Linked DNA regions of Oryzias latipes. The protein of the gene in region 4 purifies or fractionates together with the protein of the main gene of each other region. This does not show direct contact. Links are inferred from orthologs where the notes say so. Each region holds a gene or a part of one and is shown on either strand. Other genes may lie near its edges. The genes, in order: polr3f, crcp, protein POLR1D, polr3h, polr2l, polr3g and polr3k.

Region 1 (3,980 bases), on a different chromosome or scaffold from region 4:
GAGAGATTGGGGGGGGGGGGGGGGTGAGTGCCGCAGCCGGAGCGGCAGCAGGGGGCGTCGGAGCGCGGCTTACCGGGCACAGGCCGCAGGGCGTCTTCACCAGGCCCGCCGGCGGCAGCACGGCGTTCACGCCGCGGTACAGCTTCATCTGTCCGTCCACGCTGCCCACCGTCCCCTCCTTGGCGGCGATCACGGTCATCTCCACCTTCCCGTCGTAGATCAGCGTGTTCAGGATGGTCTCGATGTCGTCCATGGACAGGTCCACCTGCACACGGGACACCTGTGAGAACAGCTGCAGCTGTTGGGAGGGGCTGTGAGGTCACGGCGGGGCCACCTTGCTGATGCCCAACTCGCTGATGTACTTCCAGACTTCGTGAGACGTGGCGAAGGAGCTGTTCCTCTGAACCATGGGGCTCTGCTGGCCGCCCCGCGCCGCCTCCGCCTGCACACAGGGGTGAGTGGGGGTGAGGGGTGGGCCCCTCAGCCTGGTGCTACGTTCACACACGTGATGCGCGTTGAAGACCACAGAACCTTTGCTCGCCTACGGCGTTCATTCTGGACTGTGGCTACCCGGCGCCGTCTCCTGCGGTTGGACGACTCGGTGGGAAACGTCCAAATCTGGTGAGTCTTTTGTTCACAGCTCGATTCTGATCCATCATAGACTTGGCGTCGACACAAACCGCAGTTATTACTTTGTCCTTTCTGATCAAGTTTCAGTCGTTGGTACTTCTGCTTTGACGCCATCATACGTCGCAACCAACTCAGAGTCCCTGATTGGTCAAAGTTCAACTGGTTTCACGTTCAATGGCGGCGCTTTTTGTAGAGTTTGGAGGCGGAAGCGTAGACGCGTTCCCGTAGACTTTGGACTCAAAGCGGTCCCTTGAACGCGTTTCCCGGTGTAAACGTAGCTCTACAGCTGACCTCTGACCTTTGTGACCCATTGGTTTGGTGTTCCGTACATTTGGGTTCTCCATACCTTGCTCTGCAGGAACTTGAAGCACTGCTGGTTCAGAACCTCCACGAACTCGGACTCAAAGTCCTGGTCGCTGTACCAGGCCCCTCCGGTGACGGAGCGGTCCGGCTGCACGTTGTACAGCATGTAGACCTTCTTCTTGGACGCCTGCGTGGCAGACGAGCAGAGTTCAGGACTGCCGGCGGCCACAAGCACGTCTGGACCGGCTCGGTTCTGAACTCACGGCCACAGATTTGACGGCTTTGATGAGCTTCTTGCTCTCCAGGTTCTTCAGGATCTTGTTGATCTCGGTCAGAGGGAGGTTGCTCTTGAAGCGGATGTCTCTGCTCCAGATTCCTGCGAACAGAACATCTGGGAGGTTCTGACCCGCGGTACCTTCTGGAAGGAGGCAGACAGAGCTCACCTTTGTTTCCGGCATCCTCGATGATCTGGTAAACCAGCTTCTCCTGGTTGTCCGAGCCCTTCATCTTACTGAAACAGAGGATTGGGGTTCACGGTGGACAGAACCAGAACCTGCAGATGGAACGCTGCTCACCTGGCTGTCTGAGAATCTTTTAATCTGTACAGAAGACCAGAACTGTTCCTGAGCAAGTCCAGCTGGCCCTGGAACAAACACCAGGTTACGTTAGAACCCCTCTGCGCTGAAGAATGGATTGGGTTGTTCAGAACCGGACTAACCAGGGACAGCAGCTTGTTGATGGCCAGGGCCCTCTGCTGCGGCTCCAGGTGAGGCATGTCGTTCTGGATCACCTGGTCTGTGATTCCCTGAGGGAACTGCTGACACAGCTCTCTGATCCTGGAGACACACAGGCGTTCAGAGCTGAAGTTCCTGGATCAGAACCACAAGGTCCAGTCGCTCCAAAGATCAGACATCCCATAATAAACCCTGTGTCAGCTTGGGTCTCATCTCCAGTTGGAACAAAAAGGAACATCTTCAGATGGACCTCTCCAAGACGGAGGTTCTAGTGTTTCTGGTCCGTTCAGAACGTCACGTTGGATCTTCAGAAATGGTCCAAAGACCGCCTGAACTCTAGAATCCGTCTGACCCATCCGCGTGTTCTCTGAACAACATCCAGAACATCCAACAGCTGCAGCGATAGTCCTCGGACCTGGACCTTCAAACCAGGACTCGGATCTAAAACCTTCATACCGGGACTCGGTTCTAAAGTCTGCAGAACTGAACTCGGTTCTAAAGTCTTCAGACCTGGACTCGGATCTAAAACCTTCATACCGGGACTCAGTTCTGAAGTCTTCAGACCTGGATGGACTCGGTTCCTTTAGTCTTTAGACCTGAACTCACGGGACTCGAGTCCGAGTCCAGTTATGAAGACATTAGACCCGAGTGACTCGAGTCTAATGTCTTCAGACCTGCACTCGGTTCTGAAGTCTTCGGAGGTTTACTCAGATCTAAAACCTTCAGAACTGGACTCGGTTCTAAAACCACCTGAGCGTGAGCTGAGTCGGTCTCCCGATTCGAACCTCTGGAACCAGACAAAGTGGTTTCGGTCTTAGAAGCCTGCTGAGGTTCGGTTTAGAGTAGCCTCCGGAACCAGAACCGTTTCTGAACTTAAGACACGCGCGCATGAAACAAGCCAAGGAGCTGCTCGTAGATGAAATGCACGCGCTTCGGTCATGGACCGGCACGCGGCAGAATCGTGAGGTCCGAACCTGGTCTCCACCTCTGCAGGTTCCGCCAGGTTCGTCTCTTTCTTTACCCGAACCTCCGCCATCTCCCCGGTCCGCTGCTGCCGGTGACGCCGCTTCTTCTTCTGGGGGAACCACGGAGACCGGAGCGTTACCGCCCCCCAGCGGCGGGAGAGGCTCGGTCCTGTGTGACGTCATCAGAGCACGTGATGTCCGTTCACGTTTTTTTTTGTTTTTTTTTAATTTTGTTTATTTGAACTTTAAACATACACATAATAACAACATACAAAAAAGAGAGAAAAAGAAAATAAGTAAATAAATAAAACAAAATATATAGAATTATAGTTTACAACACTAGGGATTGTCATACAGCATGTGATCTTCAATGAAAACACACAGTTTTATTGCATTTTTGTTTTTCATCAATGTCAGAGATTTAAAATATAAACTGATTTCTTTAAGAAATGTATTAAATAATGGTTTCGTTTTTACAAATCTGCACTTGTGAATGAAAAATTTCCCAGATATTAATAAGGTATTGAATGTCAAATCAAATAGATTATCACCAGAAACTACTCCAAATAATATAATGTGCTTTTGTAAGTGAATAGAAATAGGAAAGGGAAACTTTGAAGAGCACCAAAAAAAGAAATCCTCCCAAAAACTGTAAACATACATACATTCAAAAAACAAATGATCAAGTGTTTCAATATTTATATCACAAAAAGAACAGTTATTCTCTGGAAAACCTAAACGTATGTGTAACAGTTCTTTGCATGGATAGACTGCATTCATTATTTTAAAATGGATTTCTTTGTATTTTGGGAAAATTGGATATTTAATGAACTGAGACCTCAACTTGCTTATTTCCTCTCTTGTGTAAAGCTGTGACATAGAATGATTTATGTCTAATGTTGGAAACAGGACGGCTCTAACAAATAAAGATCGTATAAATGAGTTTGGAAGTTTTGAATTAACCGGTCGACCATCAAACAACAGAGAGGGAAGCTGAACTTGATCATCATGAACCAGACTGGAGGACATTTGGACCAAAGTCTGAGGCTTTGATCACATTATTATATTATTTTCTATCATTTAATTTAAATTTACTGGAAAAAGTTTCAAATGAGATAATGTTTCCATTGTCATTCATAATATGTATTAATGACCAAATACTGTCATCAATCCAATGTTTGTAAAATATTGATTTGTTCCTACATAAAATATCCCAACAGTTCCATATGGAGTATTGTGTGAACTACAGTTATGTTTGTAGAGGAGTTTCCATACAGTAACAGCTGCTGATGATGAGTAGAAAGTTTAATAGGAAGTTTTCTGTAATCAAAATCACATTTTAGAAGCA
Region 2 (4,187 bases), on a different chromosome or scaffold from region 4:
GTGGAATCAGCATTATCGGGCATCCTCAGGGAGGTGTGAAAAAGATCGACCCCTGTTTGATTGTTCCACACAGCCAGGTTGTTGATAGGGTTCCCCTGATAACCAAGTATTTCTTTGCTGATAAACTTTTGAAATACGAATCTAGTTTTTTCGAAGGCTCCTCTGGCTCTCCTGTTTTTGACAACCACTGCAATGTGGTTGCAATGCATTCAGGAGGATTCACCTACGACAAAGAAGGGATGGAAAGACGGGCTGTTGTTGAATATGCCCAACCTCTGCATTTCATTTTGGAAGATTTTATTATCCAAATGGTGGAGGGAAAAAAGTTTGACGTTTTGAGAGAATATCTTGATTGCAGCTACACTCGAGGCACCGCCGTCAAAGACGGTGTCAAAAAAATAGTTGAGAGCAGAAATAACCAACGGTTCAAAGAAGCTGCAAGGAGCTGTGTGGATGACAAAGTTGTACAAACATTCCTTGAGTTTTTCTGCCAAACTGAGGAACCTGTCCCAATGGAGGTTGTTTAGGTCTCATCATCTCATTTTATAGTTATCCTGGGCTTGACTGCAGTAAAACAAAGAAATTCCAGCAGTGAAAAGCAAAAATTAAACGAAAGCTTTAAACTCAGCTTTAATAAAAGTTAAAGCTTTAATTTCTGCACTTATTGTTTACTTTATTGTTGCTCCAAGCAATTCACATGCACCTGTTTAATATAATTATGTGATTTTTCTGTCCCAGAAACATTTTTAACCATCACTCTCCAGTTCAGAGAAAAAATAATGCTGGAAAAAATCTGTTCACTCTTGTATATTTTACTTGTATGGATGTCCAATTCTTACATTTCAGTCTTGACTCATTCCTGTATCAAGTTCTTGAAAAGAAATGCCAACAAAAGGTTTCCTTTTTTTGGTTGTTTTATTATGTTTTGGGATTTATTTGTTTTTTCAAATATAGATTACTCATTACTCAGTGCAGTAGCATAAAATTCATTGTACTTTTTCTGTTTTTGTTTTTAAAAAGCAAAAAGTGTTCAATACTGTGTGCTTCAAATCATGACTAATGAAACTGTATTAAAATCTGATAAAAGTGACTTCTAGTGTATTCCTTTTTTGTTCCCTTACCCTAACAGTAAATGTTAAATGTTTAATATGTTTAAAATAACCCTCGATGTGTTCAGGGTGTACTTCACCTTCTCCCTGATGCTGCTGCATGAGGCTCTGGAAGTCCTTGTTAATTTCATTGAACTGTTTGGTGAAGGGGCTTTCGAATTTACACTTTTTGAGATACTCTTACATTGTTTTTCATTTTCAAACATCTCGGCAGTGTTTCACTTTTTTAAATATTTATTCTGTTTTCTCTGATCCCACGTTCTATGTAAAAATGCGTTTTTTGCTAGGCGGAACCAATATACTCCCCTATTTTCTACACGAACCCCTTTATTGTAACGGAACCTAAGAGTCGACATGGAAGTGTAAGATTTTTTTTTTAAGAACAAAACAACGGCTAATAAGTCTTTTATGTATATTTACATGTACAATTTTAATTGTGATCGATGGTAGTTTCGTGCGTGTTTCAGTTTCGGGTTTATTATGTGATGTTTTGCTTGTTCCGTTGGGATGATGCTGTCGGCCAAAAAATGGAGAGATGATGATCGACACACAAAACAACTGAATTAAAACATATTGAGTCCGGGAGACTTTGATCCATTTTGAAGAGTTTGCAGTCTACAAATGTTTTAAATTGTATTATGTTTGGGGACGAAGTTAGAGACGGGACAAAAGGTCGCGAAATCGTTTATAAACGTAAATTTCAGAAGATGGGAGAAACAAAAAGCACGGGTCGGATTAGTTTGAGTTTGTGTTATCAAATATTTGTTTCAAATCATGAAACATTCCATTTACAAACACATTCTGCGTTGGCTCTTCAATAATAAATGAATTAGTTATGACATGATGAAGCAGCTAAAAAACATTTTGTCATCTAATATAAGCCAACTCAGCCGCACTCCACAACATTTGTCAACTTGTCACTTGAGCTCTGATCTAATTCATATTTGCCTGAAATCACAAACTTAATTTTTCTAAATAACATTGAAGCAAAGAAATATGGGAAACAGGTTTGAATTTAAACAGTATTCTGTCTTGTTTTTCATTAGATTTATTTATATTTATCAAAAGTTTGCTTTTTTTAATTGTATTTCTTTTCTTCTTCAAACTTGAAAAACAAAAACATTTGCTAATATCTATTTCAGTAAGTTTCAACGGCTTTAAAATAATCTAATTGATGGGTTTCTAGTTTTTAAAAAGGGAAAACACAAAAAAAAATTATTGCTGTTCATTAAAGAGAAGATCTGAGGTTCCGATTAAGAAAATTTCGTTATATAAATAAAAATCAAGTAGAGAAATCCAGCCGTTCTTTTAGTAACACAAGGATGTGAAGATCAAATCACAGAAGAAAAATGTTTACTAAATATATAAACTACATGGGAAATATTCCAATCTTATAAAGCTTGTTTTGGTAACAGATATTTTAATTATCTCATAATTTAATGTTTAACAATTGTTATTTGGGTTTTTTTACACAGAAAAAATGCAAACGCGGCCATGCTCAGTAACTATGAGGTGAGACTATAAGACTGTCTATTAAGGGTTTTTGTTGATTTTCCTGCCTGGTAATGAAATTAATTATTCAGAAAAGCTAAATAATGTCTTCGTCTCAGGTATTCAAACTTCTCACCGACCTGAAAGAACAGAGGAAAGATGCTGGAAAAAGCAAACATAGCCTCGGGCAACAGGACCTCAACACCATCATGTATGAAGTGGGTACTATTCATACTGTCTGAGCTTTAGTTGTCAAATCCAGTCCATGTTCTCACCTGCATTTGCTTTCAGACTCTAAAGTATTTGTCAAAGACGCCATGCAGCAGACAGAGTCCTGAAATTGTCAGAGAGTTCCTCACCACCATGATGCCTCAGAAGCTGACCAAGTCAGTATCTAAAAGATAATATTTTTCACCCCTCTGGGGCTTCAATTGTAATTTCCGCTTAATAAATGATGTATAGTTTGGGGATAAAAATGTCTCAAAGTTAAAATTTTGCCATCTTTCTCTCTTTAAGGGCAGAAAAACTGCAGCTGTTAAACCAACGGCCTCAGAGTGCAGTGGAAATTCAGCTTGTAAGTATTTTTCATGTCTTTCTAAATGTTTTATCTTTTTTTCCTAAATAATTTACTCATGTATTCCTATGGTAGCTCTGTATAACAAATGAGATCTTTCTCATATTTGTATTTTTGTTAACTCAACCCAAAAAGGCTCAAATCTAACCCAAAACATGCACTTTTTCACATGCATCCATCAGCAACTTCATTTGTTACATGTAGATTGCCCTACAGGTTCTACCACTCTGGTTTTTTCATGCTATTCCTGTCTGCAGGGTTAGTTTGAATGGGCAATTCACAGTAAATCCAGGCTTGAGCCCATTCCTGTAACGCATTAATAATCTATTGAAGCAGCTATTACAAGACAATGTTAACAATACCTTATACAGCAAACCAAAAAGACCCTCATGACCCGTTTAAGCAAAGCCTTATTATTGCTTTAGCTAAGCGTTGAGGTTATGGCTGTGATGGGTTTAGAAATATTTAATCCTTAAAATGGGTACATTGCACTATTTGACTAAAAATCAAGTAGAGAAATCCAGCCGTTCTTTTAGCAAACTGAGTAACACCAGGATGTGGAGTGCAGACTTCTGATGCTGCTTCACTGGGGTGTGGTGTGTCCCGAAAAAATCTTTTTTAGCAACCAATAATTACTCACCTAAAGCCAAGTGTAGAAGGCTCCCTCTATTAAGAAATAATCTGGTTTCATAATGCAACAGCAATTATATATTGTCCTAAATCAGTTATTCTAGAGCAGATTATCTCTTAGAGTACATTTTAAAAAGTGAATTTCCAAAACTATATGGAGCCTCTTAAAGAACTGCACTCCCTGTTTACCATTTGTCTCTCTGCAATCTGTATCCTTTTAAAATAAAAATATTTTTTTCAATACAAAGCAGCTATAAAGCAGTTGTTGCAGTGAACACAAATGAGGCCATTTCCATTAGCATCCACTAACATGCAGTTCTAAAACTCAGCCTGCAGATGTCGCCCTTCTCACTTTTGAGATGCTTTTAACCCTTGTGCTATCT
Region 3 (3,990 bases), on a different chromosome or scaffold from region 4:
AGCCACCTTTACAAAGTGGAACATGATAAAACAAATATTAGCTTTGATATGATTTTTAGATTATATCCTAAAAAGTATATTTGATGTTTCGTTCTGGTGCATAAAGATTCATGTTAGAACTGTAAGAGGATCAATTATTCATGCCTGAAAACACAAAATATTTATTTCCTTTTACTCTCTTCATTCATTCATTCAAAAGCTGTAATACAAATTGTATATTCTGTCACTGTACAATTCGTTGTGATCAGCAGAGGTCCTTCTAGTCTGTCTGGGTCTCTGTGAGGGTGAGAGGGCTCTACAGAACTATTTCAAGTCAGCCATACTCCTCCAGCCAATTAATTTTTCAGTAGAGCATCAAGGCTACCTTTAAAACACAGCAAGTTCATTCATGAAGAACTTCTTTTTCTGTCTCCGTTTGGTCCATCGGCATGCTTCCTGTCTCTGCTGTTGTCCCCGTGTCTGTCAGATTTGTTCTTATCTTTGTCCAGTTCCTTATCTCGGTTTGAACGGGTGTGATGTTTATGGTCTTTGTGGCGTCCATTACTCCTGTGGTCTGTCGGAGGTGTTCTGCTGCGGTCACACCGTCTGTCACGGGACTTGTGGGTCAGGCGGTCTCTTGTTTTGGAGTCTGCGGTTCTCTGCTCATCGTTTCGCCGCTGCAGGCCGGTAGAGCGCAGAGTGTTGAGGAGAAAGCGTTTGTTGGTGCTCTGCAGGGGACATTTCAACCTGACAGAGAAGAAGACAACACAACCACTTAAAAATTCAGAATTAAGGTTTTTTTTTTAATCTAAAGTCTAATGTGAAAAGCGACAGTTATCTGATCAGTATATCTGACAGATGTATAGTCGTTTCCATTAAAGGACAAATTGTCTCCAGAGTACAATTTAAATTATAGGACAACTATTAAGGGCATGACTTTGCTTTAAGTTGGGAGTTAGATGCTCACCTTACTGCTTTTTGTATAATTTCACTTTTTGTTAGGTTCCCACATGAAAATAAAACATTATGGTATTGTGCTGTTTTTCCATGTTTTCTAACACTTAAAAATACTGGGTCATTCTTTAATTTACTACTAAATAGTGTGATAAGAGGTGCAAGTTTTCTGGAAATTACATAAACCAACTTTTTTTTAATATTCTGTAGTTTTTTTGGACCAGACCTAAAAAACAAAATAACATAAACCTCTTCATTAGAAACCCACAAAAAAGAATAAAGTCCTTCTAAATTTGTTTAAGATCTGTTAAACATACACAAATAAATCTTATCATTTCAAGAGACTCAATGAAGGGAGATCCAAAGAGAAACCCATTAACCATCAAACAGATCAAATACACAAAAAGTGAATAGGTCAATAAATAATTTCATGCAAAAGAAATCATTGTGCAACAATATACTTGCAAACATTTGTCGATCTAATTAATACAGATCAGTCAACAAATATTGGTTACCAAGATAAATCTATGATTGTAAATGCGACACAGTGTGAAAAAACTCAAACTGTAATTGTTACACAAAAGACAAGCCTTGCAGACTTCAGAGAACGTTGTCATGTAAATGTTTGGGATAGACAAAAAAATGTGAAAAGTTTAAGTTAGGTAACATTATAATTATGGACAGTCTTTTAAAAAAAAATTTTATTTGCCTTTTGTCCCCTCCTTTCAAGTGACTTTTGTAACTGCATTAAATGACGAGTGAATGACAGCTTCAGAACATTAGCTTTGACCTCTCACATCTGAAATAAATCAAGAAGAAAAAAATAGTTTTGATAAATCAGCGTCAGCCCAGAAAATAAAAATGTCTGAAAGCATATTTTCAATTCCAGGAAAGTTCACAGGGTTATACCGTTTTTTTTAGACATAGAATCACTACAGACACACAATCAATAAATAAATATTAATAATAAATTTAGTCTATATGTGTGTGCTTTTAGATGCCAAGAGAGACAAGTGTCTTTGGGAACCTGACGAATTATCTATAATAGAAAACTAGTTAAACACAAATACAACAATAATAGAAGCCTCCAAAAAAAACAGCTAAACCTATGAAGTAAGATTTTACATGGCGTTTTATGTGGAGGCTGTCAGGGATGACATTTCAGAACCATAACTCACCATCCTGCAGGGCCCATGGTCTCAGCTCTCACCCTGGCTCTGTCTGTCTCCTTGAGGAGTTCCTCTATAGCCCGTCTGGAGGAAAAGACGTAGAAAAATGCGGATAACAACAGAAGACCAAGATGACATAAAAGCTCAAGGGGAGACTAATATAATTATGTGCGAGCGAGGAAGAAAATAGGAGACGCGGAGGAAGTGAATCATAAGTAATTGGGACATCAGCGGTGTCCCCGTTTAACCCGACCAGCTGAGGCATTAGTCTCGCAGGGGGCTCTCTCTGATTCAGCCGATCTTATAGCACGTAGTGAGAACAGCTGTTGATTGCCAAAAGGCAGAGTGTGTTGACTGCTACACAAGATACACTCCGTCCCCTAACCAAAATAACCCCATAGCTACAGAAATGCATTATGCAAACATGCTAGCCTAATCTGGTGGTACCAGACACCATTCCCCCGATGTATTAGTTTAACCGAGCAAACGTAAACAAGTTAATCGATGATAATCTAAAAATAAAAAATACTTACTTTTCCAATTCATTATCTTCAGCCATTATGCCTGACCACCTAAAGACTTTAAAACGCAGAATTATTTCAGGAAATTTCTACAGGCTCATGTTAGGGGATTTATTTACCTCTGCGAGGTCCTTCTTTCGAGGACCTGATTTTATGACCAAAAGATGCCTGATCATTTCATTGTTTTATATTGTTAAACCATAACATTTTTTTTTAAATAAATAATGCATTTTTGTAAAATTCACGCCGTTTTTAGAACCCAAACATTTATTCTAAAGTAATTTAGTTACTAAAATAATAGTTGTAATTGTCACATTGAAAAACAAAAAATATTCCATGCCCTGTATGATCCCGAAGCTTTATCCGTTTATGTTATTACCTCTAACATATCGGAATCATAAACATATTAAAAGATTTTAATTCCCGCTGAATGGACGTTTTTGGGCAGGCGACATTGAAGCCACCTCTACTTTTTTTTTCTTTTTTTTGTGGATTGACAGCGGCAAACTCCGCCCAGTCTCTTTGACGGACAGCAGTGGGCGGGACCAGGCACCAAAGTGACGGGGGCGTTTTCGTGCAGGTTTGCGGAACGGGCCGTCCGTTGCGGCGACTGCGTGACTGAGGTCCCGCAGCTGCTAATTGTCCCGCCACCCCCGCCCCTCTTCGAGGCCCGGGCGCGGCGCAGAGGAGCAGCCTGAAGAGGTAACATCACATCTGCATCCTTTCACTGTAAGCGGCGTCAGTGTGTGTGATGCTGGCTTTTTCTGTTATTACCATTGTCGCCTCTTCTGTCCTCCCTTTTCGCTCCTAGGGGGGGTTGGACTCAGACAGTGAACGGGGGGTTTGAGAGATGGGGGGAGGGCTTATCTAAACATTGATGGTATCAAAAATATATATATATATATATTTTAGTAATTGCTTTGCAGATGGGGCGTTATTAAGGTAAATGCAGAAAATTGACAATAATAATTGAAAATGTAATTTACAGCAGGCTCAGTTTTTGTATTATTACTAATGCATGCAAAAAATAAATATATAATAATGTTCACATCAGTTCTCGTGCTGTCTTTGTGTGTTTAGTATTTGTAGGATGAAAGACATCCAAATGAGGTTTTTGTAAAATATCTGATACCTGGGTGCCTGATACACCTGAGTTTTTAAATGAGTGCCATAGAGTCTTTTGATCTTCTAAAAAGGAAACTCCTGCATGCCGCTGCCTAGTTCTCCCAAGATTAGATAGTAATCTGTGGGAAAATGAGAGCAAGTGCAGGACCGGTATCCTAATATAAAAAGATGAGCAAGTACAGCTTTGAACTCAGACAAGAAGGATTAAGAACGTGTCACACGCATCTGCAAGCCTTCACTTA
Region 4 (3,670 bases):
TTGACTCAGTTAAATCTTTCAAGTTTTCTATCAAATTTAAAGTAAAGGGTTTTTACAGGGGAAAGGGGAGGAGTCTAAACCTACTTGGTCTTGACGAAATAGCATCTTTCCAAAGATGAAACAAACCGCATATGGAAACTATAGGAACTTTTTCACACCTGCCCATGTAGGATTGACATTATGATTTTAATAATACACCTTTAGTTGAAAACTTCATGTTGGGTTAACTTGTGTTTTCTGTCTCATATTTTACTAGTTTGTTGATCTAACACATTTTATTTAGTCAAATGGCCCAAAACGAAATCAGAATAAGCAAACACCTAATCATGATACTATGTAACTGCTCTATTATGGCAGATTGATATCCAATTTATTTGTAGCCTACACAAGAAATTGCAAGTTATTGTCATCGTGATATCAGCCTGTGCAATATGTGCACTGAAGACAGTGTAAATTATGATGAGTGGTTATCTTAAATGTAAATAGATCCCTTAATGCATTTGACCAATTGGATGGACCCCTTTAATCTTAGATTCCCGCCTCCTTTGTAGACAAGGGTCATTTGCTGTATAATTGAAGTTATTTTGATTTTTATTGAAATAAATCTGATGCAGTGAAATGGAAATTATGTAGTAGTTTTCTGTTTTGCTTTATGTTCATTCGTCAAAAGTCATATTGTCATTGCAATATTGATGACAAATATCACACATTTATTCTATAATGCTTCTTTTTTGTCTTAGGTGGTTTTCAACGTGGGTCTCTGCATTTGTCTGTATGACATTACTAAACTGGAGGACTCCTATATTTTCCCAGGCGATGGCGCTTCACACACCAAAGGTATGACAGCAACAGTATTACTGTGACAGTCTCTGAATACCTTCAGTTAATCATATTGACGTCAGTCAAACCAGCTCACAGTCCTTCAATCTTTCAGTATTTTCTTTTAACACATAGATTTAAAAAAACACACATTAAAGATCTAAATCCTATTTCTGCTGACATTCTCACCTTTGTTGTCAGTTCATTTCAGGTTTGTTGTTTTTCACCCGTTCCTTGAGGAGATCCTTGTTGGGAAAATCAAGTACTGCAGTCAGGAGGGAGTTCATGGTAAGTATCATGTTTTCTTTAACACAGCTGACACAGATGTGTTCACACACATGTGGAAATATTGTTTGCTTGTCTAACTATGGTCTCTCTGCTTTACAGTGACGATGGGCTTCTTTGATGACATCCTCATTCCACCAGAGTCTCTGCAGCAGCCTGCAAAGTTGTATCCAACCTTACAATTACTGACTCTGCTTTATTAGACTGTGTTTGCTGCGTAAATATGATGCATTTGAGGAATCCTATTGATACTAAGTGTTATACAGTTTAAGGTGAACTTTCCTAATCTGAAACTCCAGTGATGAGGCTGAGCAGGTTTGGCTCTGGGAGTATGAGACCGATGAAGGGGCTCATGACCTCTACATGGACCAAGGGGAGGAGATCCGGTTTCGGGTAACAGACGAGGTCTTTGTGGACACGTCTCCAACAGGTCCAGCTGCTGCTACGCCTGATAATGCAGCACAGCCGGGACAGTCCACAGCAGCACCTGCAGAGGAGAGCACAGAGAAGAAAGAAGCGCCGTACACACTGATAGTAAGAGTTCATAATGCCATAAAAAAGCGTTTTTGCAAATACACCTATCGTCAAAACTTTTTAGCTCCTTTGCCATTACATATGTTTGTACCTTAGTGACACTCCATTCATAATCTAGAGGAATTATTATGATGCCATCAGATCCTCTGCAACAGTAGGAGCTTCAGCTCTTTTTTTGGAAGACTTTCCACAGTTTTAGGAAGGTTTATTGAAGTTTTTGACTGTTCAGCTGTAGCATTTGTGAAGTTTGAGACTGATGTTTGCCTGGCTGTCAGTCTTCACTCTGTTGCATCTCAAAGTATTCTGAAATATGCAAAATATAAAAAGTGCACATCTTAATCCAACACCAGGAGCTGTTCTTTGTTTTTTTTCCCTAAACAGGCTCAGGGTATTTCTGTACTTTTAAGAGGGATAGATAGTTTTATAATAAATGGAAAGTGGGATCTTTTTATTTTTTTAAACAGTCATGTGAGTCCTAAAAGGTGACAGTCTGCTATTTGGGTAGTTGGGGTTCTCTTCTTGGACGAGACCCTTAACCCCACAATGGTCTCAATTATAAGAAGCCTATAATCTTTAATAGAAAAAAAGCTAAATATTTAAATGTAAATGTTTGATTGTGTAAATGCAATAAAGCAGTTACATACATTTACAGTCTTAAAATGCTTTCTGGGATCAAAACCTTAATAATGCATATCAAAAACTAAGTGCAAAATCATGTAAAAAACAAAATTTGTCATAAGAATTTCATTTTTGTTCTTATTAGTGATAAATTTGTATTACATCTTTATTTTATATTTCTGTGTTTCTATTTCAGGGCACCATCTGTGAGCCAGGGCTGGGACTGCTGTCATGGTGGAACAATTAGCACTACAGAGGATGGTTTGTCCCTCATCACCCGAGACCTGCTGCTCAGTCAGCAGGAACAAAAAACCAGCATGAAGAACTCTATAGTTTTGTTACAGGAGTACAGATGAATTGAGATCGTCAGTGTGAAAGCAGCCGATACCAGTTTCATGTTTACATGTACAACTCACTGTGATGTGTTGAATGGCAATTTATGTTTGATACATTTCCTGTGAGAGTTTCTTAAAACTATGAGGAAATAGTTCATTATTTTTTGTTAAAGAGGATTTTATTCAAATGCCTCATCATTTAAGGTAAATAAGCAATGGTCTTCTGTGCTTTCTGAAAGTCCGTGTACATATTCTGAATTGAAAAACAAACTACTTGACTTTCTCTTGTGAGTTTATCAGTCGTATTTTTCTCTGCTATGGCGGGAGAACAGGTATTTCTGTAAGCAATTCTGCAAGATGTGTCACTTAAAAAGATGAGAAGGGTCTAATGTTCATCATATTTGAGAGGCAGAATGTTAAAAATATTCCAGGAAATCAGATCATTTGATTTTTAAAGAATTTATTTAGTTATTAGTGAAAAAATACAAATTTAGCTCCTACAATCAAGCAAGAATTCTGTTCTTCATAGACCTGTTATAAAGTCCCACTCCAATAAATGTTTGGATCTATTTTAATCTATTATAAAAGTGTGGCATTTTTTCATCTGCTCCTGATTCACCACAATTTGAATATAGAAATACTCAGTAAGGCACTTTTAATCTTAATTTTCTTTATGTCTATAATGAGAAAAATGTCACAAGAACATTTTCAAAACACCAAAAACACAATTTTGAATGGAGTGGATCTGTAAGTTCTAGCTTCCACTCGTTTCTTGCAATATTGGTTACTGTTTTAACTGGTTGTCAGTGTAAAAGACACCTGTCCACCCTTAAACAGTCAGACTCCAATGTCTCCACCAAGACCACAGAGCTGTCAAAGGACACCAGGGAGAAGATTGTTCACCAGAGACAAGACTAAGACGAACCAAATTACAATAAGGAAGGAGCTTGGAGAGAAGAGTTCAAGAGTTATACTGTATTTATCCCACAATGGGAAATTTGTTCTCCGCATTTGACCCATCCCCTGGGGGAGCAGTGAGCTGCAGCCGAACCGCACCCGGGAGGCAGTAGCCTGGATGA
Region 5 (3,196 bases), on a different chromosome or scaffold from region 4:
TTTAATTGTTGGTAACAAAGTGGCATTGTAATTTGCTGAAAACCTTCTGCACATTCACTATAACTCTTCAAGAGTTAAAGTTCCAACCGCCATGACGATGTTTTGTTCTTGCTTCCCCAGATTGGAGGCAGAGGAGCATTGTTGCGTCGAGTTGTATATAAAAGAATCAAGGATTGTTTGTTCAATCTGAGAACACGGTTTTGTTCTTCCTTTATATAATAGGACTTGTTTTAACAAAAATTGGCTGTAGATTTTTTCTTGTAAAATAAGACTTTGTTTGCATGCACCATAACAATTCTTTCTGTAATCATTGTAATTTCACATTTCTTTTGGTAGAAAATCTACAATTAAAAAAAATCCCAAAGTATTCTCGTCTTATGTGCTCTGCTGTTGAATAGTATAACATTATTTGTTTGCATGTTTTCATAAGTACATAAAGTGAAAGGTTGAGCGATTTAACTCAACGCCTCAAAAATTAGATGGCATCTCAACTCAGTGAATCGAATACTTTAAAGAAAAAACTTTATTTAAATAAAATTTTCATTGCCACATATGTGCACAATACACCAAGTCATTATTGTTGACATTTCTTAAACACTGAATATATGCACAGGCCATGTTCAAAGCATGTTCTTCCAGCTAAAATTTTTCCAGCGGTGCATAATTTAACAATTTCTCAATAAGATCCACATGGGAAAGCAGCATCCTCCGACAGCAGTACCTCTTCAGGCCCAGGGCATCAAGAGCATCACTAGAAAAGGGAAGATGGAAAAGTAATTTTAGTGCCAGATATTGCTTGCATAATTACAGAAAAAAAAAAAAAAAACATTTCTATAGTTAGTTTTAAATGTTGTATCCTCAAATGGTCTGAATTCAAACTAACATCTTGACTGACAGTGAAACAGGAGGAGTAGAGGTTGAATGAAGGCCTTTATTTAGTTTCAGAAAACTTGACCATATAGCATTACGGTGACACATTGTTGAACGAACGAAACATGAAGGTAAAATGAAAATGAAGCGCATCTGTCTCACCCTTCAGTGTATTCGGCCTGAAGAAGACCAAGGTAGGCTTCCCATTTGTTCCCCACGATCTTCCCACAAGTGAAACACCTCACCGGGATAATCATTTCTGGATGCTTGAAGAAGGAGCCAAACTAAGATATTCAATCCACAATAAATAATATAATCAACAATCAAATCAATAATAAAAAAAAATTAAATAAACAAAAACATGCCAATATGAATATGGTCATATCTGAGAAAGGGTAATTATGTTACACATGTTCCTACAACATAATTCCGCTTATGATGCTAGCAAATACTTCTAAAGGAAGGTACCAACACGTTGTTTAGGAACGTCGTAACTAAAATGAACGCAAATATCTTGCGCTACAATTTCTGTAAACGATATAATATAATTAAGTAACTTGTGTTTAAATTACTGAGATTTAAAAAACAAAAAGAAAGGCCAACGCTAGCCGCGTACATGCAGCTAGCCTAGCAGCACGCCGTCGTTCACATGCTTCCCAAACTCGGGTACAAATGAAATAAAAATATTAGTAACATTACGTTAAAAAAGGAAGTTGTTAACTCACCTTTATTGGTCAAGTTTGTCCAACACTTAAACAGCGTTATTTGTAATAATAGTAGAGACAAAGTTTAACCGTTGACGATATAAACATCACAGCTCAAATAACCATTTCCGGTGTAATACAGAGCTTCCGGATGTGATCCTACAAAATAAAACTAATTTAAATAAACCACTAAATTTAGGTAAACAATGCTGTTGAGTTTAACTGCTGTGTGTTCATTTTCTGTATGTAAAACACAACTTTAGGATTTAACAAAAAAATTATTTTATCGCGTAAAAGTATTTGTTACAAAAACTGACGCGTACGATTTGCATTTTTACTATATATATATATATATATATATATATATATATATATATATATATATATATATATATATATATATATATATATTTTTTTTTTTTTAAAGAAGGTAGCACATTGTCTAAATACAACCTGCATCGGCCCTCAAATATTGAGAAATCTGTTCCTCAAACCAAAATAAAATCACATCTCTCTGGGTGGGTCTGTAATAATACCAGTTAATCCCAGACGACATATGTGTCCAATGATTAAATGCTTTAATTTAAATCACCTACACATTCATGTTCTATGATAAGGAAACAACTACATTTATATGGTATATGTATTCACCAACATTTGTCTATATGCAAATATTACTTTTTGTTATTTGAGGATTTCTCTGCAATAATTTAGAAAACATTCTAATGTTGCCACAGTCATGTGAGTAAAATAAAATAAAAAATCCTTATTTGGGAATTGGCATAAAATGCAAATCCCAAAAAAATCCTCTTTTTCTAATCTTGACTGTAGATCTACAGCTTTCATTTTCAAGTTTAAATATTTTCATTTGGATAGCTTATTAGCCAATACTTTCTGTGAAACTGTTGCTGTTTATTAACTAATCTTTAACTGTCTTTCCTTATTTTCATTTGCAGAAAAAAAAAGTTGTGAACATAAATCAAATGTAAATCTGATCTAAGCCTTAGTCTCATCTAGATTTCTCAACATACCAGTATTCAAAAGTACCGGTACCCAATTCCTTTTTTATATTTGTTGGCAGTCCATGTTAAAACTCTCTTGAACTTACAAGATTCATTCATTCATTCATTTTCTTAACCGTTTTTCCCTTTCGGGGTCACGGGGCTGCCGGAGCCTATCTCGACCACTTGTGGACAGGTCGCCAGTCTGTCACAGGGTAGAACTTACAAGATCATAAATTTAACTGAAACTCACATTTCTACTAATATAATTGCTTTGATAATTCTTGTGCATTTAAAAAAATAATTCAGACTGGTTCACTTCTTTTATTGAGGCTGAAGTTTAAACTCTTCCTTTTTTACATTTAGACATTTGGGGACAAAAGCCGGGCTGCATTATGAAAATCAGTTAAAATATAGAATAATAAAATATCCTTCGTATCATTCTAACAGACACAATGATAACTATCATCATCATTGGCATCATGTATTGTCACCAACATCGCCATCGTCAACACCAAACATTATTACATCATCTATGCAATTTAACTTGCTACAGCACATGTGCTAAATGAATAGTCCTACCTGAATTATTGCATTTATACGCTGTTAAAATTATGAAAA
Region 6 (4,297 bases), on a different chromosome or scaffold from region 4:
ACAGACATTTCATATGCAACTGTCAAAGCCATGCAAAATGGGCTTCAGTAGGTTGCTTCCCCATCCATGTTATCGTCACTTTCAGCAGCAAAATCTTCACCGTTGTCAAAATAGCTTTCAATGTAGTCATTTTCCTGAGGAGCAACAAGCAGATAAAACATTAGTTGCATCAAATAAGACCAATGCAGATTTTCCACTATTCCTGGGACCAAACCTCTTCTATGTCTTCTTCGAGTTCTTCCTCTTCGATTTCTTCATCGTCCTCTGCTTTCTTCTCAGTTTCCTCATCTGACTTCTCAGGATTTTCATCTTTCTTGGCCAATTCCTGAGCAGATTTTTTGGGGTGGGATTCAAACTAAATGGTAGGCTTTCTTCCCATTTAAAAAAAAGTCTACATTTTCACAGCAGTTCTCTTTGTTCTGCTTGGCAGTATGGTTTGGGCCAATGTGTTTAAAGCCGATCAGTTAAGGAAGAAATGTTCAAGTCTGAACAGTTTCCTTTTTAAATAGATTTAAGCCCATCAGACACTAAAGATGGGTCTGTCAAGATCATTCAAGAGTCAAACTGTTTTTAAACTTGATGTAATTTGATCAGTTTCAGAAAGGGACATGCGATTTTTACTTTTTTTACCAATTCAAAATCAGAAGCACCAGTACAATAAGCGTTTTTCAGTCTAATGTTGGTATTAAAAAAACAGGTAAAATTGTGCCTTATATTTTACACAGATGTAGACTTCTGCAAAATCTTGCTAAAACTTCGTACAACCATAATCTTTTTTCACATGGCTTTAAACTATTCTGTCCTTATGGCAGTTTCCAAACTAGATTTTTTTATTTTAAAGGCATGTGCCTACTAACTTCAGCACCGAATGACAGCGCCTAAAGACATCCTTGTACAAAGTTCAATTAAGAAAAAAAAACATTTAAATAGTCTAAAAAAGCTAAAGAAGGAAGATAGGCTTACATCCAGTTTACTGAGCACATTGGCTTTATCTTCCTTCAACTTCTTCACAGTTTTAGTCTTGGTGCCTGAAGCAAAAAACACTTTTTAAATAAATAAAAAACACGCATTCAACATTTCCTGCATGCAATGTGACTTTAATTTACCTTTCTTAATTCTACGTTTTTTACTTTGGGGCATCAGTTCTTTGGGAAAAAGGTTCCAGTCTGAAATGTGTGACACGATGTTTGCATTACTTTACATGACACCTTTTGAAAAAAAAATTTCCATCTAAAGCAATTACCTGGAGTCCATTCCTCACTGTTAATCTGGGCTTGTTTCAAGTATCTTTCAGTGTATTTCTCCACCTCTGTTTCATGTAAACAGAACAACAGAGTACATTTGAAAAAAGTATCAGATCAGTGAGAATTTTTTTACTAAACATAAAAGATAAAAAACAAATGAAAGTTAATCTCTGGAATCAATTCATTGCTACAGCAAAAATAAATTTATTGTTTAGACATTTATGCATTGTACCAAATTATTTGTTCATAAATGAATCTTAAAAAGTATTTTCTAATGATCAAAAGTCTGGAACCTGGATTAGAAATTGTCTTTTTTTTAACAGGTGACTTAAATTAAATGTACTCCTTTAAGTTTTTTCTTGGGTTTATGTCATAGACCAAAGAAAATTAAAGATGTTTAAAATATCTGTAATGATGGACCCCTAAAAAAACAACAACAATTGAAAACTTCATAATGAGGCATAAGCAGTAACTATAGAATCTCATTTCTCTTATGTATAACACTCATAAAATGTCTGATTTCCCAAAAGCAGCAGTTATCTCCACTTCCAGCAGCCCAGAATTATCTTGACGTAGAAATCTCTCATATGTCAGCACTCTCCCCCCTACCCGTTTTGCTGGAGCAAGCTTTAATGTTGTGTGGTAGCCTCTGCATTGCTCCTCTTAATTCCTGTTTTAACGCCAGCATGTAGTCTTCCTCTTCACCTCCTTTGAGTGGAACCGGTTTAAATTCAGTAGTCTAAATAAGGGCAAATGATGCAAGATATTTATTACAGTGACACGTTTCTTGTTTATCTGAAAATTGGTGTAATCCAAGCAGGCAGTCATTCTCAGAAAGTGTCCATAAACCAAGTGTTTGACACAAAATAGATTACATCATAGTTTGCTTTCTGAGCACATTTTACAAAGTACTGAGACTACACAGGGAGAGTACACTAAAAGCCCTACGTTGATGACACATGCCAATTTATTTTACTTAAATAAAACTTGAATTTTTGCTAATTAAACCTTCCATCTTTCCGTGTTTGTGTGGCATTTACTTACTGGAAACAGTGGACTGGGCCCCACCCTGGCTTCTGGCATGTTGCCTCTGCCAATGCCCAGAGCATCAATGTTGAAGGTAAACGCAGCCACCCCGCGGCCTTTGCCTGCCATGGCTGCGCCCCTGACCACGACCTGCAACACACGGTTCATCCTCAGGCAAGCACCGTCATTGACAAGCACGTGCTTGCCGGTATTGCACCATTGAGTCCGCTATGAGAAATGACAATTTTTCCCTGATATATATTTTTTCATAAATACTTACAGGAGGCCTGCTGGTAAAACTCTCCTTTTATGGAGACGTGAGATAAAAAAATAAAGTTTTATAACTATAAATGACACGTGTTTCCCAATGAAATCTTATTGAATTTGATTTATTTGTTAAAGCTAAACGGTCCGAGTTTGTGGCTTAGCGGTTTAGCTTACATTTAGGCGAAAAAGATAAGTAAATAAACCTATCGCTTCTTTCTATGGTTTTTTTGTGGAACCGGCTGGGAAACGCATGTGTAACCAATAGACTAGTCAGCGTGAGCAGATGCTTTCCCCTCTCCGCCCCTGCTTACGTCCCAATAGGGCGTTTCTTATTTTCGTCCAATCGCTGCCGCGTTCACATCTACCGTCATTTCTCACTTCGACCAATGGGCTGGCTGCTTTCAAACAAGGGTGTGTGCGGCCACCATCATTACAGCTTCAATGAAACCACACTGCTCCTAGCTACGAGGCTACTAACACTGTTGTGCTAATTCAGCCGACGGCGCGTCTCCCTTCCGAAGCTTACCTCGACATTTGCATGTCCTGGGATGTCTGCAGCCGACTGGTACGCCCACAAGTCGCTCGGAGACGGACTATTCTGGATCCAGGAGCGGTTTTATCAATCGGACAACCGGGCCAACATCTGGTTGCTCCGCGGTTCGCATCAGGACGTGGTGATAGACACCGGCCTGGGGCTGAGGAGCTTACCTGACTACATCGACTCCAAGGGGCTGCTGGGAAAAGACCCGCAGAGGAAGAACCCGCTGCTGGCCATCGCCACTCACGCCCACTTCGACCACTCGGGGGGTCTGCATCAGTTCCAACAGGTGGGCGTCCACAGCGCAGAGGTCGATGCGCTGGCCAACGGAGACAACTTCGAGACGGTCACCTGGTTGAGCGACAGGGAGATAGCCGAGCGCCCCAGTCCAGGGTGGAGAGCAAGGAACTACAAAGTCAAGGCTGTTCAGCCCACGCACATACTGCAAGAGGGTAGGCAGGGCATCTGTCAGCACACATGTGGTGCTTGGTGCTAGTGGGGGCTAAATCTGGGGTCAAACCTACAACTTAAAAACTTCATTCAGTGTATTAGAGTTTCAAAATCCTTCTCATTCTCAAACCAAATTTCTGCAAAACGAAATTAACAGATGGCCCAGTGACAAGCCAGACACAAGAAACCAGACTTTCAAATATTTGCACATGGGTGAGGTTGGGATACTGTGTGGTCCTCACCATTGTCTTGGCTCTCTTCCTGCAAAGCTGATCTATTTTTAAGTCACCATGCTGATGACTTTGGCAGATTCTGTTACTTTCAGGAATGAGTGTGTAGGTTTTTCTCACACACACAGCAAAGCACTGGGATATTTATCACCCACCATCCTGTCTGTGAATAAGTATATTCTGGACATAAGCATTTTCTAAACCAGGGCTCCTCATTCCTGGTACTCGAGATTTATCGCCCTGCCTGTTTTCCATCTCTCCCTGCACTGCTTGCTGCTGACTACCTGGAGCAGGTGTGTTCATTCAATCAGAATGTGGAGACATCTGATTGAGCTAATCATCCGCTAGCAGGACTTGGAGATCTGGAAAACCGTCAGGGTGGTAGATCTCGAGGATCAGGAATGAACAGCCCTGTCTAACCCTTGTGCTATCCTATGGGGTCAAGATGGCCATTGACGTGTTCTCCCTACCGTGGATAAAGATGGAGAGGATTTCATGTAATCCATGGAAACCAGTGAAGATCACAAATCATTAAAGAAAAA
Region 7 (2,997 bases), about 11 Mb from region 4:
ATCATTGCATTGATCACCTAATCTTGACATTTGTCATCTATGACATAAATAAATGCATGTTAGATGAAGCGATAGCCTTGACTGAGCAGTCTTTTCAGATTAAGCTAAAAAAATATCAAAAATACAGTTTTTATTGGATAAACCACTAACAGTGTAAAAGCACTGTTCCGTCACAGCATGTCCGATTTCATTTTTCACCAACGCTTTGGAGGTGCAGAATTTGTCTGCATGAGCTACACATCCAAATAAGTGATTCTCTTTGGCTGGCTCCTAGATTTGTATTTTTTTTTCTCTTCCTTACCTTAAGGATGATTGAGTTGCTCTAGAAATTGCATTTTGAGCTCAAGGATTGCATAGAAAATAAACGTGTGGGAACCAGTGGTATGCATTGCTCTCAATGTCTGCAACAAGATACAAACATCTAAGACAATTGAATTGACTGATGTACACAGGTATTATTTTATCAATAAAAGCTCTGAAATAAAGAATTTGTCCGTTGATTGATTCTGAAAAGCAAATTTTATTTATAAATAATAATGGGTCCAAAACATTCTTTACATGTGCTTTGATTGCCATTTAAACTAGAAATAATGAGTGAATGAAATAAAATGCTCAATCTCTCCATCTGTTTCCACACTGAGCATTACAGCATTTGTAGAAAGTCGTCATTGGTTCATCGGCTGATCTGGTCTGGATCTGCATGAAGTAGGCTCGAGGATGCTCGCATTTGGGACACGTTTCTGTGAAAAAACACAAGCAAACATGCATATATGTACACACATGTTCAGAATTTTAGTTAGTTCTCGGATTGAACTTCTTTCTGTGGCCCACATTCAGGTTGGTACTCGCCATAGCATCACACAGCAACACTGCCTCTAGCAAAAAGTAGTCCATTTAAGTGTACTACAAGTATACTTAGAGTGAGGCAGTGTACTTGAAGTTCAGTCTATATATAGTAAACATAAAATGTCACAATTTAGTCAGAATAAGTGTTAAGTTAATGTACTCCCTACACGTTACATGGTCAGCAGTATATGTGCAATACTTGCATCCAAGTACACTTAATAAAATAAACTTCAAGTGTACTTGCAGCTAAGGGTGACTATTAACACCCTTTAAACACGCAAATGGACTGTTTCAAATAAACTTTAATTTATTCCTATGGAGAACATATTTGTCTTAGTAGTCAAATTAGTTTTTCTTGGCCTTTGTTTTATATTATTCTCTAGTCTATCCATGTTTTTTTTTAATTCTTGGTAACAAACTTGTTTGTTACCTGCAGTAGAATCCACGTTCTCCCACGCTGCAGCTCCACCCAGCACATCATCCACCTCTTTCAGCTTGGGATATTTTCGGTAGTTTACCTACAAATATTGAAAAGTTTGAGATTAAAAACCACCCTAAGAAATGTCGTGTTTGTTTCTCGAGTCAGAGTCAGACAGTGATAAAAGGAGCGTACCTTTCTCGTGACGTTGTGCACATAGGGACAAGTGTTACAAGCGAATCTCAAGCATTTCTGTCCTTCTTCTACGATTAAAACGTTTCCACAAGTAGGACAAAAAAGAAGCATATTACCAGATTATTTAAAGAAAAACTATCTCGGGAAAGATAGTAGCGACTACGAAATTCATTAGCAAGGAGAAGCAAAGCGGAAGCAGTTGCTCCGGTTTTACAGCTCGGTAGGAAACAAAAAAAAAAAAAACGTTTGTTAAAAATGAAATTGTTATTGTTAAAGAATGTATATAAATGTATAAATATATGTATAACATTATAAATAATATAATTATTTTAAAACCCCACCATCCGCCGCATGAAAAAAAGTTCTTACTTTTGATAAGCGGAACTATTTATCATGTTTTGATGATACCACCGGTATAAGGTCTGCGACACACAGCATTAAAATTCACACCAGTCTTGGGATACATTTTTGTAAACAGTATCCTATTATTATTATTTTAAGAATCTTTTGTACTTAATTGAACGCGTCAAAAAAGAGAAAGCGGTTTCATTTTTACTGAATGTATTTATTTTTAACCAATAATAGATGATGGAGCAGGAAACCGACGAAGGAGAGAATCGTTTGCAGGACAGTCACAGTCACAGTGAGGTGAAAGAGGAGAAGCTGGCTGATGAGACAGCTCCAGATGCCGAGGAGGAAGATGAGGAGTCTCTTCCACATTCAGAGATCCTTGATATCTTCGAAGAGGGACTTGCTCGACTTGTGCAGGACCCTTTACTGTGTGATCTGCCGATCCAGGTCATAGAAAAACACCACACTCCGCACACCAGGCAGATGTTTAAAGAAAATTTTCATAAATTGTAAATTTAACACTAAAGTTGAAACGCGTCCTTCTTCCGGTTTGTCTGACGGCATATTTGCATAGCAGAAAATAGCTGCATATATATTCTTGAAAAGCCAAATCGAATCCAATTTCAAAACAATCTTATAGCTCTAATTTATGTTTTCTCTCCTTTTTCTTCTTGAAACTGTTTATACGATTTAAGAATTATATACGAATAGCAATGAAATAAATGTTCTAATCTAGAATTAAGTACCAAACATGCATAATAAAAATAACAAAAACACAGGTTATAATCCATAACATTAGTATTGTCAGTATTGCTCTTGTAACATTGGACTATTATACAATAATCACATTTGTTTTTTTTTAATCTCATTTATTATTAAGCCCAGAAAGAAATCTGTTATTTACAACTGGTTTATCTTTCGTATTTGCAAATTTGTCTTTGAGAAAACATGAAATGTCTGCAGTTATAAAGGATTAACCAAGTCCATTTGACTGATTTTTTTTTTTTTTACCCTCTACTGTGTTAGAAGGATGAGAATCCACAATCTGCAATATTTTTGTGTTCAGGTGACTTTGGAAGAAGTAAACTCCCAGATTGCATTGGAGTATGGGCAAGCAATGACTGTGAAGGTTGTTAAGGCAGATGGGGAAATCATGCGTAAGTTCCAAAGTCTCCCAGCTGATTTGT

The links.
Region 1: the proteins of polr3h (region 4) and polr3f purify together in Homo sapiens (affinity purification with mass spectrometry; 4 studies listed by BioGRID and IntAct, with this or other methods). This does not show direct contact. The link is inferred for Oryzias latipes from reciprocal best matches to the Homo sapiens genes POLR3H and POLR3F.
Region 2: the proteins of polr3h (region 4) and crcp purify together in Homo sapiens (affinity purification with mass spectrometry; 4 studies listed by BioGRID and IntAct, with this or other methods). This does not show direct contact. The link is inferred for Oryzias latipes from reciprocal best matches to the Homo sapiens genes POLR3H and CRCP.
Region 3: the proteins of polr3h (region 4) and protein POLR1D purify together in Homo sapiens (affinity purification with mass spectrometry; 6 studies listed by BioGRID and IntAct, with this or other methods). This does not show direct contact. The link is inferred for Oryzias latipes from reciprocal best matches to the Homo sapiens genes POLR3H and POLR1D.
Region 5: the proteins of polr3h (region 4) and polr2l purify together in Homo sapiens (affinity purification with mass spectrometry; 4 studies listed by BioGRID and IntAct, with this or other methods). This does not show direct contact. The link is inferred for Oryzias latipes from reciprocal best matches to the Homo sapiens genes POLR3H and POLR2L.
Region 6: the proteins of polr3h (region 4) and polr3g purify together in Homo sapiens (affinity purification with mass spectrometry; 5 studies listed by BioGRID and IntAct, with this or other methods). This does not show direct contact. The link is inferred for Oryzias latipes from reciprocal best matches to the Homo sapiens genes POLR3H and POLR3G.
Region 7: the proteins of polr3h (region 4) and polr3k purify together in Homo sapiens (affinity purification with mass spectrometry; 3 studies listed by BioGRID and IntAct, with this or other methods). This does not show direct contact. The link is inferred for Oryzias latipes from reciprocal best matches to the Homo sapiens genes POLR3H and POLR3K.

What each region holds. Positions count from the first base shown.
Region 1 is NC_019859.2:414,638-418,617, forward strand, and holds the start of polr3f (DNA-directed RNA polymerase III subunit RPC6), read right to left. Parts: upstream 2,801-3,980; 5' UTR 2,704-2,800; coding exon 2,642-2,703; intron 1,770-2,641; coding exon 1,652-1,769; intron 1,577-1,651; coding exon 1,509-1,576; intron 1,445-1,508; coding exon 1,377-1,444; intron 1,310-1,376; coding exon 1,197-1,309; intron 1,121-1,196; coding exon 977-1,120; intron 443-976; coding exon 335-442; intron 266-334; coding exon 74-265; intron 1-73. UniProt on the Homo sapiens protein: DNA-dependent RNA polymerase catalyzes the transcription of DNA into RNA using the four ribonucleoside triphosphates as substrates.
Region 2 is NC_019872.2:8,449,030-8,453,216, reverse strand, and holds the start of crcp (DNA-directed RNA polymerase III subunit RPC9), read left to right. Parts: upstream 1-1,387; 5' UTR 1,388-1,463; coding exon 1,464-1,471; intron 1,472-2,584; coding exon 2,585-2,621; intron 2,622-2,719; coding exon 2,720-2,818; intron 2,819-2,891; coding exon 2,892-2,986; intron 2,987-3,116; coding exon 3,117-3,174; intron 3,175-4,187. Other genes in the region: protein FAM111A, read left to right, coding at 1-527. UniProt on the Homo sapiens protein: DNA-dependent RNA polymerase catalyzes the transcription of DNA into RNA using the four ribonucleoside triphosphates as substrates.
Region 3 is NC_019878.2:17,475,455-17,479,444, forward strand, and holds the start of protein POLR1D, read right to left. Parts: upstream 2,801-3,990; 5' UTR 2,743-2,800; exon of another isoform or gene 2,682-2,742; 5' UTR 2,662-2,681; coding exon 2,636-2,661; intron 2,187-2,635; coding exon 2,112-2,186; intron 727-2,111; coding exon 387-726; 3' UTR 1-386.
Region 4 is NC_019866.2:19,484,386-19,488,055, forward strand, and holds the end of polr3h (DNA-directed RNA polymerase III subunit RPC8), read left to right. Parts: intron 1-740; coding exon 741-837; intron 838-1,020; coding exon 1,021-1,107; intron 1,108-1,206; coding exon 1,207-1,270; intron 1,271-1,403; coding exon 1,404-1,638; intron 1,639-2,452; coding exon 2,453-2,503; 3' UTR 2,504-3,170; downstream 3,171-3,670.
Region 5 is NC_019861.2:18,860,753-18,863,948, forward strand, and holds polr2l (DNA-directed RNA polymerases I, II, and III subunit RPABC5), read right to left. Parts: upstream 1,728-3,196; 5' UTR 1,596-1,727; intron 1,155-1,595; exon of another isoform or gene 1,137-1,154; 5' UTR 1,128-1,136; coding exon 1,033-1,127; intron 752-1,032; coding exon 640-751; 3' UTR 501-639; downstream 1-500. UniProt on the Homo sapiens protein: DNA-dependent RNA polymerase catalyzes the transcription of DNA into RNA using the four ribonucleoside triphosphates as substrates.
Region 6 is NC_019867.2:16,255,786-16,260,082, forward strand, and holds the start of polr3g (DNA-directed RNA polymerase III subunit RPC7), read right to left. Parts: upstream 2,801-4,297; 5' UTR 2,551-2,800; intron 2,421-2,550; 5' UTR 2,400-2,420; coding exon 2,289-2,399; intron 1,984-2,288; coding exon 1,854-1,983; intron 1,310-1,853; coding exon 1,244-1,309; intron 1,167-1,243; coding exon 1,107-1,166; intron 1,029-1,106; coding exon 964-1,028; intron 326-963; coding exon 215-325; intron 135-214; coding exon 45-134; 3' UTR 1-44. Other genes in the region: mblac2 (metallo-beta-lactamase domain-containing protein 2), read left to right, coding at 3,086-3,527. UniProt on the Homo sapiens protein: DNA-dependent RNA polymerase catalyzes the transcription of DNA into RNA using the four ribonucleoside triphosphates as substrates.
Region 7 is NC_019866.2:8,138,713-8,141,709, reverse strand, and holds polr3k (DNA-directed RNA polymerase III subunit RPC10), read right to left. Parts: upstream 1,677-2,997; 5' UTR 1,571-1,676; coding exon 1,460-1,570; intron 1,365-1,459; coding exon 1,277-1,364; intron 741-1,276; coding exon 613-740; 3' UTR 501-612; downstream 1-500. Other genes in the region: snrnp25 (U11/U12 small nuclear ribonucleoprotein 25 kDa protein), read left to right, coding at 2,045-2,257, 2,877-2,967. UniProt on the Homo sapiens protein: Core component of RNA polymerase III (Pol III) which synthesizes small non-coding RNAs using the four ribonucleoside triphosphates as substrates. Can mediate Pol I proofreading of the nascent RNA transcript.